Linked DNA regions of Saccharomyces cerevisiae S288C. Changing the gene in region 3 together with the main gene of any one other region gives a genetic interaction. Each region holds a gene or a part of one and is shown on either strand. Other genes may lie near its edges.

Region 1 (3,606 bases), on a different chromosome or scaffold from region 3:
GCATGGGTGCTTGATGAATGTTGTCTTATTGACCCAGGTGGTAGCTGGAGCGAGAATCTGGCGATTTCCAGGTAAAGGTCACCGCAAGATGAATCCATGGTACCTAAGGATTTTACTCGCATCACTGGCCATTTTTTCACTGCTAACCGTACAATTTATGTACTCCAACTACTGGTACGATTGGCATAACTCAAGAACTCTGGCGTATTGCAACAATTTGTTTTTACTCAAAATATCGATGTCACTAATCAAGTACATCCCACAAGTGACGCATAACTCGACAAGAAAATCTATGGATTGTTTCCCCATTCAGGGTGTGTTTCTAGATGTCACTGGCGGTATCGCCTCGCTGCTCCAATTGATTTGGCAGTTGTCTAACGATCAAGGTTTCAGTCTGGATACGTTCGTGACAAATTTTGGAAAAGTGGGACTGTCAATGGTAACTTTAATATTCAACTTCATCTTTATCATGCAGTGGTTTGTATATCGATCTCGAGGCCATGATCTGGCGTCAGAGTACCCGCTGTAGCACACAAGGAGAAATCTGCATAATTACGCATATATATATATATATATATATACATAAATATACATAAATATATGTATGTATGTATGTATGTGTGTATGTATGTATGTACACACATGCATGGTTTAAATAGACAAACCTTGGTGGAATTTATACTTTTTTTTGGTGACGAGGACGTCCGTAAGAGCATCGTCGTCAACAAACCATGATACACGACCAGCAGCACCTTCGTTGACAATACTGCTAGGTAGGCCCTTTTCAGGCCTTTCCATAATGGTCTTGATGATGGGCGCCTTGGTTGCACCTTCGACAACGAAAGTAACCCTGTGAGAATGGCAGATTACAGGTATAGTCAGCGAAATTCTGGTCGAGGGCCCACTAGGAGCGTTCTCCACGGGCACCACCCATGCAAGTTTCTCACGTAGATTGTCCTGGAAGTTAGGGAAGAGTGATGCGATATGACCATCGGGGGCACAACCAAGCAGGAACAAGTCGAACATCGGAAGTTTGACGGAATCTCTACCGGCAAACCCGCGGATTAGCACCTTTTCATAGTTATCAGCGCATTCTTGCGGGTCGTCAATCAATGACTCGTCAATGTGGTACACCTTCGGAGTTCCATACTTCGCCGTGTCTATCAGGTCCAAAATCTTCCTTTTGGCGCATCCATAATTGCTTTCATTCGAGCTGAAGGGTACAAGTCTCTCGTCTGCAAAGTAAATGTCCCAGTCTCCCCACCGTACATCGTCTCGTTTTAGCAGACCTTCGTGTAGCACTTCGATCAATGACCCACCGGAGAGAGCAATCTTGAACCGTTTCTCCTTTTTGGGCTTACTGCTACCACTGCCACTACCACTGCTACCACTTTTCCCTTCCGCGGCAGATGCTGTGCTTTTGCAAGAGGCCTCTCTCGTCATATCCAGTGCATTCATGCTGATGTTGGGAACAGAGTGTTTCCTCTCGTTCTTTGGAGCCAATGCACCGTCTTGCGCGTGGACTACATGGTCAGCTACGGCCTCTGCCACGTCTGAAAACTCGTGAAACGCGAATATCTTGGGTACCGTCGTAGTCATATTGTCTTGCTGCAAATTGCTTTCTGTTCTAGTCCATACCTACACTGGATATGACGATGATGATGCCACTATTATCATTGAAATTTGTTAGGAAAACCCCTGTAGCGCCCGCCCTATTTAAACCTAATTTCCCCAGGATGTCTAATCACATTTTCTTCATTTTTTGGAAACTAGACCTTAACATATTTCGTATTAACCCTATGTCTCGAATTGAAAATTTCGCGGGTCTTTTCTCTTGCCTTGGTACCTTATGTAAAAAAGCGATGCCAGGAACAATAGGATAAAAATAGCAGCAACAACATACGATAAGAATTGAGGATGCTAAGCTAATGTTGTTTTACTTAGGGTGGCTATAAAAGGTAGTTCCTTGTAGGTGAAAATGATGATGGATATACTGAATACACAGCAACAAAAAGCGGCTGAAGGCGGGAGAGTTCTGGCTCCTCATACCATCTCAAGTAAGCTCGTGAAGAGATTATCAAGTCATTCCAGCCATAAACTATCAAGATCTGATTTGAAAGCATTGGGTGGCTCGGAAACAATAAGCGACGGCCCCAGTCAGCTGACTTTTAAGGACCGATACGTTTTCAATGAATCGCTATACTTGAAAAAGCTAAAAAAGACCGCTTTAGATGACTACTACACGAGGGGCATAAAACTCACTAACCGCTACGAGGAAGACGACGGTGATGACGAAATTATTCGGTTGTCTAATGGCGACAGAATTGATGAAGACCTGCACTCAGGTGTCAAGTTTTTCTCCACTACACCTTATTGCAGGAAAATGAGGTCAGACAGTGATGAACTAGCTTGGAATGAAATTGCGACCGAACGGTTCAAATGGCAGTCAATGCTGGCCAGAGTGCTGAAGGGAGATATTGTTAAAGGTGAAAAGACGAGGATTGCTAACCAAGTCAAGAAACCAGGGTTAAATAAGGAGCTCTCAGATGAGATATGGCTCGAATTGAAGGCATGGCTGAATGGGAGGACCATGCAAGAGATGGAACAGTCGCTTACATATTTAAGAGATAGTTCAGATTCCGTTTTTGAAGAGATAATGAAGTTTCAAATTCCACAGGGCAAGATATTGAGCCTGGATGCACTGGAGGCCATCTTACAAGACCTCATGAACAGATATCACAGCGTTGTCTCTTATTGGCCTAACTTGAAAAAAATGTATAAGGATAAACCAATCACCAATACTGCAGAATTTACCGCTAGAATAGACGTAATGAATTCTTGGCTGAACTTTAAAACGAACTTAACGTTGAGGAGGCAAGAGTTGGACGACTGGATAAACCGTTTCTCACCGATAAGTAGTTCGGATAATTGCCAAGAGGATTTTGATGGTGTGCCCCAATGGAACTGCAAAATGAAGATTCTTGCAGAACAATTGATGAAGGAAAAGAACATCGAGTCTATATTCCAAAAAAAAATTTTCTATCCGCTATCACCTTGGATGTTCAAACTGAAACTACATTTTATAGTCTACAGAGAAACTTTGACAAAGATGAACATAAAATATCCTTATGAAAGGTTAAGATCACTACTGGCGTTCCCCGTCTATTTAATCAAAGAAGTTATTTTGACTAGATTGTCATATGCACGAAAGCTTAAAAATCCAACAATGATGATGATCGATCAAATGATCGATGATTTTAACGCTTTTATTCGACTTTCTGTGCAATTGAAGTACACACTGACAAAATATTGCTCCAATTTGCCGTTCGATGTGGATTTTGACCCGACGTTCGAAAATACTGTAATAGAAGCCATTCGTTATTTATTTTTTCTGTTGAATTTAAAGTTGATTGATTCCAGTAAACAAAATTTCAAAGCACCCGATCTACTCTTGAAATACTGGGATCACCTAAAAAACACCGGTCACTATATTAACGGTGCAGAAACCGTGATTCCAAATGAATTTCTCAAGTTAACTTTGAGACTCGTACATAAATTGCAATTCTATCTTTTGAAACAACAAAACTTCCCACCAACATTTGCTAA
Region 2 (3,758 bases), on a different chromosome or scaffold from region 3:
GAACCTTTAAGTTGTCAAAATGATACATTATTTATCAGACAATGGAAGAAAAAAAGGGCGCATAGGCCCTAAAACAACACTAGGGTCATAATAGATGTATGGGTCTTACAACTCGTATTTGGTGCAGAAGCCAAGCCAATTGCGGCCTACACAGGTAGATGAAGAGGTAGTAGTAGCAGTGGTGCGAGTCGTCGTGGTTGGTGCAGCGTGGCTTTTAGTCTTGGTAATGAGCCTCGATGAGGATTCCCAGTCTCTGCTTGGAATAAACTTCCAGTTGTAGCAATCTACGCAGGGCTCTGGTTCAACGCACTTGGCAGCCTGCTCGTATCCAAGGAGAACTTCGTCAATGACTTTGTGGATTCTGTGGTTGAACATGTTTACACTCCAGCCCTTGTCGTTGACCACATCGTAGACACAGACTCTACCAGTGTGGCACGCGGTTTCCATAGCGTAGCCCACCAGTGAGCAACTTGAACTAGCTCCGTTGCATGTACCCATGAAGATTGGGTCTGCGTTGTGACCGAAGTGCCAGATACCCTCCATGTATGAGGGAAGTCCCGGTGGGAATGGTAAGTGAAGTCTTTTTGAAGGTAGTAGCTCTCCAGGGGACTCGAATGCGACCGCAGGCAATCCAAAAGTGCGGCCCAGTAAACTGGCCAATGCGCCTCCCAGTGAGTGGCCTGTGACCCATATGGCCGCATCGGGGTATTCTTTGAGGACGCCTTTGTATATGTCAACGACTGCAGAGTAAAATCTATCCTTACGTCTCAGTTCCTTTTCCAGGCAAGACTCATCGCATATATACGACTTCACATAGCAATCGCACACGGTAGTCCACAGGTAGCTCACTCTTGCACAACAACACGAAAATAACAAATTATCGTTGATCTTGTCGTTTCCAGTTGTCTCATCTTCGCCAGACCCTGGCAAACCCTGAGCGCTGGTTCCCTTTATCGAGAGTACCACGATATTCTCCACTTCATTGTAAAAGACGTGACCACGTATACCATCACCATCCCAACCAAAATCTTCCGGCTCTGTTTCATTCCACGGCTCCGTGACGTTACGCCAGTCTCCCGTTTGCGGTATTCTCACGTAAGCATTAGACGACATTAATGCTAACGACACTACTGTACCTCTATCTGTGATATTGGGTGCCACAATGTCATCATCTATCCACATGGCGTGTTCTTCCTCCTCCGTCATGTATGTTTCTCCGTAAATGTACGACTCTATGAATTCAGGATCTCTTTCCTTCATCCGCTTCATCAATAGCGGCATCCTTCGTAGCTCAAACTCAAAATCGAATGGGTTAGTGGTGGCATATTCGGCATTAGTAGTCCATAGGGGTTCTTGGTCTTCGAAATCCTGTCCTTGAGTTGTGGTTTCTTGATACAGCATTCCAGCGGCAGAAATAACTTCTGGAGTGACCTCCAGCCTCTGGTGTAGCCGATGGTTTGCTCCGACGCCATGCCTGTAGATAGACTTAAGTCTAAAGGTTCCATCAGATTTTTGATCCATGGCACCCCTGGATGAGCTCTTCCCTACCGATAAATAATCCGGTAAAGCAAAGTAGTAAGCAATAAGGCAGAGCACTGTAAGCGTTAGAATGCATCCTAGATGCAAAGGAGAAGCAAATCTCTTTCTTGAAGGGCTTTTATGCAACATTCAATAGAATATTTCCCTTGTTTCCTTTAATTGTAATGCCTAGATCAGTTCTCAATCACGATAACAATTTTCTGAGCAGCGGCGTACTTTCTTTGACTTATCCAAAAGGTTGACACTGATTTGAGTGTCTCAAAAGCCTTTAAATGATAGAAACAAGGCTTTTAGGCTAGTCTTATGTAATAGAGAAAGTTCATCTATATCTACAGATTCTTATTATGTACTGTTGAACAAAGGTGCGGGTAACTGCGATCACACAATCACTTTTTTCCGGAAACGGCTGTCTTCAGCGAACAACAATATAGTAGAGATACTGTATTCAACTGGAAATGCTTTCCCTTTTGCCCTATCATTATTTTCTTTCCGATGTTATGCTTATTATATCTGTGATTGATAAGAGAAAAAAAAAAAAGTGACAGCTATAGAGAAAAAAAAAAACCCTTAGAGAATCCTACCTGGAATATATTTAATGAGCAAGTCTATCTGCTGCACATTGGTCACGACACATGTTAGTGTATATGGCCCAGCCTATGTATTTACGATTTAAATCACCTTGATAATTATTAAACGATATCCAGTTTATTTCGTATTATGTTACATCTGTCAAGCCCTTACTTAGCAATTTTGAGCCCTAGTATTTTTGACCACATTTGTAACTGCCCTATTTTATTATCCTTTTAGCCCTCCTGTCCTTTTTTCTTGGTTGTAGTAATTTTCATTTATATCTCGAGAATTGTACAGTGTAAATGAGAACTGTGAACGCTTCAAGTAACCTACGCTTATAGCTGCTTCGATCGACGGAGGCTGTTTGTCAACAAGCATCACAATTCCCTACGATACGTCCTCTCTTCCTTTTTTTTCTCTCCTTTTAAACTTAGAAAAACTAGCATAATAATGAGTGGCAACTCTGCAAACTATGACGTCGGATATCCGATATATGGTGCTAAATTTATAAATGAAGGCACTCTACTGGTGGCTGGTGGTGGAGGCCAGTTCAATTCCTCGTTTCCAAACAAAATTACAGCTTTAAAGGTGAACTTCCAGAAAAAGAAACACATTAGAAGGTTTCGTGAGATCACATTAGATTCGATTGACGATGCGCCCACTTCATTGGATTGTAATAATAACCTGATTCTAGTTGGTTGCAATGAACTGTTTAATGATTCCTCCATGGAGAACGTTAACCACCACTTGAGGAAGTTTGTGTTTGAACAAGAACATCTAAAATTCGTGGCCAGTATTGATTTCAACAGAACTACAGACCCATCCGTTTTCACTAAGTTTGTTTACATTAATCAAAGGGCCACAGTAGCTGCAATTGCGTCCTCTGAAGTGCCCACTGTGATAAGAATCATTGACCCGCGTAATTTGACGGAAAATTACGAAATTGAAACGGGTAGGGAAGTTAATGATTTGCACTTCGCCCCTAACGGTATTCTTTTGTCATATATCACTTCTAATTCTTTGGAAGTAGCGTCTGTTAGGGACGGAAATTTTGTAGCAAGGAAAACGGATTTTGATAAAAATCTTGTTCTTTCTAATATCAGGTTTCTCAATGACAATACGCTATTAGTGGCAGCATCATTATCGAACTCTGATGGAGTTTCCTTGTTAAAACTAGGTGTGAGTTCCAAAGGTGTTAAAATTTTAAAAACAGCATCCTTCATGTTCGATTTGAATGGAATAACATCGATGGATGTCTCCCCAAATAAGAAGTTCGTTGCATTATCATCTAACGATAACTTGGTTGCCATCGTCAGCGTTGAAAAGCTAAAGCTTGTTCAGTTGGTTCCAAGAGTACATGAATCTACTATAACAAAAGTTACTTTTTCTCCAGATTCTAGATATTTGGCAAGCACTTCTATGGGGAACACGATCAACGTTCTGAAGCTTTCCGGTACATCGTCATCAATTTTACGAAATATTTGGAAATTTTTCTTGAATTTTGTTTTGTTAGTGGTTTTGGCTGGCGCTATTCAACTAGGCTACAAACATAATGTGCACGGCTTTATTTACAAACATGCTCATGATATATATAAGTCGAAATTCAAGGAAAACACTACCATAGACCAAGGATCTTCTTCTTATTTCAC
Region 3 (3,429 bases):
TTATGGTTGCTAAAAGTAGTGGTCAGTTCCTTATTGCATGAATTACAACTCACTTCTTGTTTGTTCGCCACTTTTTCAAAAGCTACTACGAAAGTGAGAGGATGAAAAAAAATAGAAAAGTGAAAAATCATTTTGAACGCCAAGCAGGGTAACAAATTATTTTAAGATGGCCGCTATTTTGTCAACTCAGAATTATTTGGGATTATGCTTTTAAAACAGAGAAACCTCAATTATAGTGCAGTTATGAAATGCTATATGCTATGTTCAGCCTATAAACTCATAGTAGCAGCTCGAAGTAGCATTTTTTTAAATTCTTCACCATTTGGACAACTTTATTTCATTCTTTTATGTATACTTTCTTTCCTTAATAGCCGATACAGCATGTTTAACCATGCCGACGATTATGCGGCGGGTTGGAGAGGAAGTCACAAGAAGGAACTATATTATTTATTTTTTTCTGTTTCCTAGAATGCATACATATGCGTAAATATATATGGCGATTTTTGTGTTTCGTCGCCTGAACTTTGTTTTGTGTCTATGAAAAATTAGGTACCTTCATAGACTACCATTATGGTAAAATGGAAAAACTATTCTAATCCAATTCAGTTGTCTCATCTAGAATATCCTCCATAAAATCATAATCATTCGGGAACTCAGTGCTGGTAAAATTTTGTTCGAAAGACGATGATTGTTGTGAAGACTTCTGATAAGCAGCTCCATTCTTTGTAGATTCACGGTCACCGTTTTGATAGCGATTTTTGTCGCCTTGGGGTTGCTCCGTTACAAAGGGTCTCAATCTCGTTAGAATGAGATTTTGTAGGAAATCAGAAACTTTTGCTAAGTAGAATGTTCTTGGAAATTCGTACCTTTTTGTTACAGATATTAAAATCTGAGTTAATTTACCGAATAAGAATTTGTCATTGGTGTCATCTGCAAACCAAATGTTATAAATTGAAGAAAACAGTAAATAACTGTTAAAATTCGGTTCTGTTATCTTATTAAGGAATCCGGTAAGCTTGTTTTGAGATTCCATAAAGGCAATGAAGTCATATACCAGCTCTCTTGTCAAGCAAATACTTCCAAACGACATAAGTAAAGAGGTAAATGGTAAGAAATTCAGAAAGGCATCAATAGGAGTATAGAGGTAAATAAAATGTATGAACTCGTAAAGACTCCAATATTTTAACAGTGATTTATAAATGGTGATGACAACTGGGGACTGACCCAAAGAAGTAGCGGTTTTAGCAGCACTTGCCTTTGAGAAGTCAACGGAAGACGTCAGATAGACCACTTCTAATGTCAGCTGCAAAGGAATGGCAACTGAGGTAAGCAAAAATAAGGGCCATAAAATTAAATTAAACATTAGTTTTCTATGGTGGAGTGAAGCACAGCAGAAAGAACGTTAGGAACCTTAGCTAAAAGATAGAAAAAAAGAGCACTACAAAAATCTTATCCTCGATTTGAAATACTAATGTCGAGCCAGATCAAATTAAATGAAATCGAAATGATATAACGTTGCTCTTGCACGTGTATTTCGCTGCTTAGGAAAGTTGTTTCCACATATTATCTTTTGTACGATTTTAAACAGTAAAATCGATGCATATTAAGGGAGGCCCAATACCCGCGGGCAGTAACCGCATCTTTGGAAATACCGGGTAATAATAAATGCCCGGGAAAAAAGAGCATAAAACAGAGAGGCGATATAGGAATGAATATGTGCTATTTACGGAAGGGAAAAACACTTATTGTTTTTCTGAAATGTGACACAGTAAAGTCCGTCATATACGGTTCTCCGTTGGGCGCTACCACACACATATATATAAGCCTGAATGCAGTAGACAAATTTCAGATATCATACAAAGGAAGCGTTCTCTGGGACCCCTTTCTATGTTTAGATGGTTCACTGAACTTGTTCGTTAACGTAAATATGTCTTCCTCTTTGATTCCAACAATGATATTATAAGGAAATTATCGTCACAATCTAATCAACAAGGACAAAGAAAAGAAAAAGTTGAGAGAGAGAACAAAAGTTCAAATCAAAGAAAAAAAAGAACATCAAATTACCTATTACAATAAACAATTAAGCCATACTCGCAACAATTTGCCATAATAGAAAGCAGCACCTCGTTGGCGCAGTCCCTTACATAGTACACAACATTTATCACTTCACACAATCAGGAGTGGAACTCAATGGAAAACAACACCACACGTATGATCTTACTAATAAAAGAACATGAACGTTCCTCAGCGCGAACGTTCGCATTCTGCGCCTTCGAGCACAGGATAAGTTGCAGGAAGCCATCACATCTATGCAACGATTATCACGACACAACCTTGCCGCCGAGAAAACGTCCGTGGAGAACCATTCGGTCGATTGCTTCCCACGGAACGAGTGGACTGAAACTTAAGACTGCCCCTCTCTTTCCGCGGAATCGCTCATGCCGCGGTGCCACAACATTTTCAGATTTACTAAGACTCCGGTGAGTGTGGGCTCACCCGCGGGTCGTGATCACGATTCAGCACCCTTTGGACTCGTGATTCCGTGGAAAGGTCAGATCTGTATTCCTACTTATGGTAATGTGCTAAAAAAAGAGAAATGTCTCCGCGGAACTCTTCTACGCCGTGGTACGATATCTGTTGAACGTAATCTGAGCAATACAAACAAGGCCTCTCCTATACATATATAATTGTGATGTGCATAACCTTATGGCTGTTCGCTTTTATTATCATACCTTAGAATGAAATCCAAAAGAAAAAAGTCACGCAAAGTTGCAAACATATAACAACTGTGTTAGTTATCACTCGACTTTGTTATTCTAATTATAAATAAATTGGCAACTAGGAACTTTCGAAAAAGAAATTAAAGACCCTTTTAAGTTTTCGTATCCGCTCGTTCGAAAGACTTTAGACAAAAATGCCCGAGGCCAAGCTTAACAATAACGTCAACGACGTTACTAGCTACTCCTCCGCGTCTTCTTCTACTGAAAACGCTGCTGATCTACACAATTATAATGGGTTCGATGAGCATACAGAAGCTCGAATCCAAAAACTGGCAAGGACTCTGACCGCACAGAGTATGCAAAACTCCACTCAATCGGCACCCAACAAAAGTGATGCTCAGTCTATATTTTCTAGCGGTGTGGAAGGTGTAAACCCGATATTCTCTGATCCTGAAGCTCCAGGCTATGACCCAAAATTGGACCCCAACTCCGAAAATTTTTCTAGTGCCGCCTGGGTTAAGAATATGGCTCACCTAAGTGCGGCAGACCCTGACTTTTATAAGCCTTATTCCTTAGGTTGCGCTTGGAAGAACTTAAGTGCTTCTGGTGCTTCCGCAGATGTCGCCTATCAGTCAACTGTGGTTAATATTCCATACAAAATCCTAAAAAGTGGGCTGAGAAAGTTTCAACGTTCTAAAGAAACCAATAC

What was found.
Region 1: mutations in ATG40 (region 3) and SOL2 together harm fitness more than expected from each alone (negative genetic interaction), as found in Saccharomyces cerevisiae (one large-scale study listed by BioGRID).
Region 2: of ATG40 (region 3) and ATG15, changing one suppresses a phenotype caused by changing the other (phenotypic suppression), as found in Saccharomyces cerevisiae (one study listed by BioGRID).

The regions. Positions count from the first base shown.
Region 1 is NC_001135.5:244,956-248,561, reverse strand, and holds SOL2 (Sol2p), read right to left. Parts: upstream 1,600-3,606; coding exon 652-1,599; downstream 1-651. Other genes in the region: cystinosin-like protein ERS1, read left to right, coding at 1-529; mitogen-activated protein kinase kinase kinase SSK22, read left to right, coding at 1,979-3,606. UniProt on the Saccharomyces cerevisiae protein: May be involved in regulation of tRNA subcellular distribution.
Region 2 is NC_001135.5:235,124-238,881, reverse strand, and holds ATG15 (triglyceride lipase ATG15), read right to left. Parts: upstream 1,669-3,758; coding exon 106-1,668; downstream 1-105. Other genes in the region: GTPase-activating protein SED4, read left to right, coding at 2,560-3,758. UniProt on the Saccharomyces cerevisiae protein: Lipase which is essential for lysis of subvacuolar cytoplasm to vacuole targeted bodies and intravacuolar autophagic bodies. Involved in the lysis of intravacuolar multivesicular body (MVB) vesicles.
Region 3 is NC_001147.6:616,926-620,354, forward strand, and holds ATG40 (Atg40p), read right to left. Parts: upstream 1,364-3,429; coding exon 593-1,363; downstream 1-592. Other genes in the region: ATP-binding cassette multidrug transporter PDR5, read left to right, coding at 2,915-3,429. UniProt on the Saccharomyces cerevisiae protein: Acts as a receptor for reticulophagy. Directs autophagic sequestration of folded tubules/sheets derived from the cortical endoplasmic reticulum (cER) and the cytoplasmic endoplasmic reticulum (cytoER) into autophagosomes.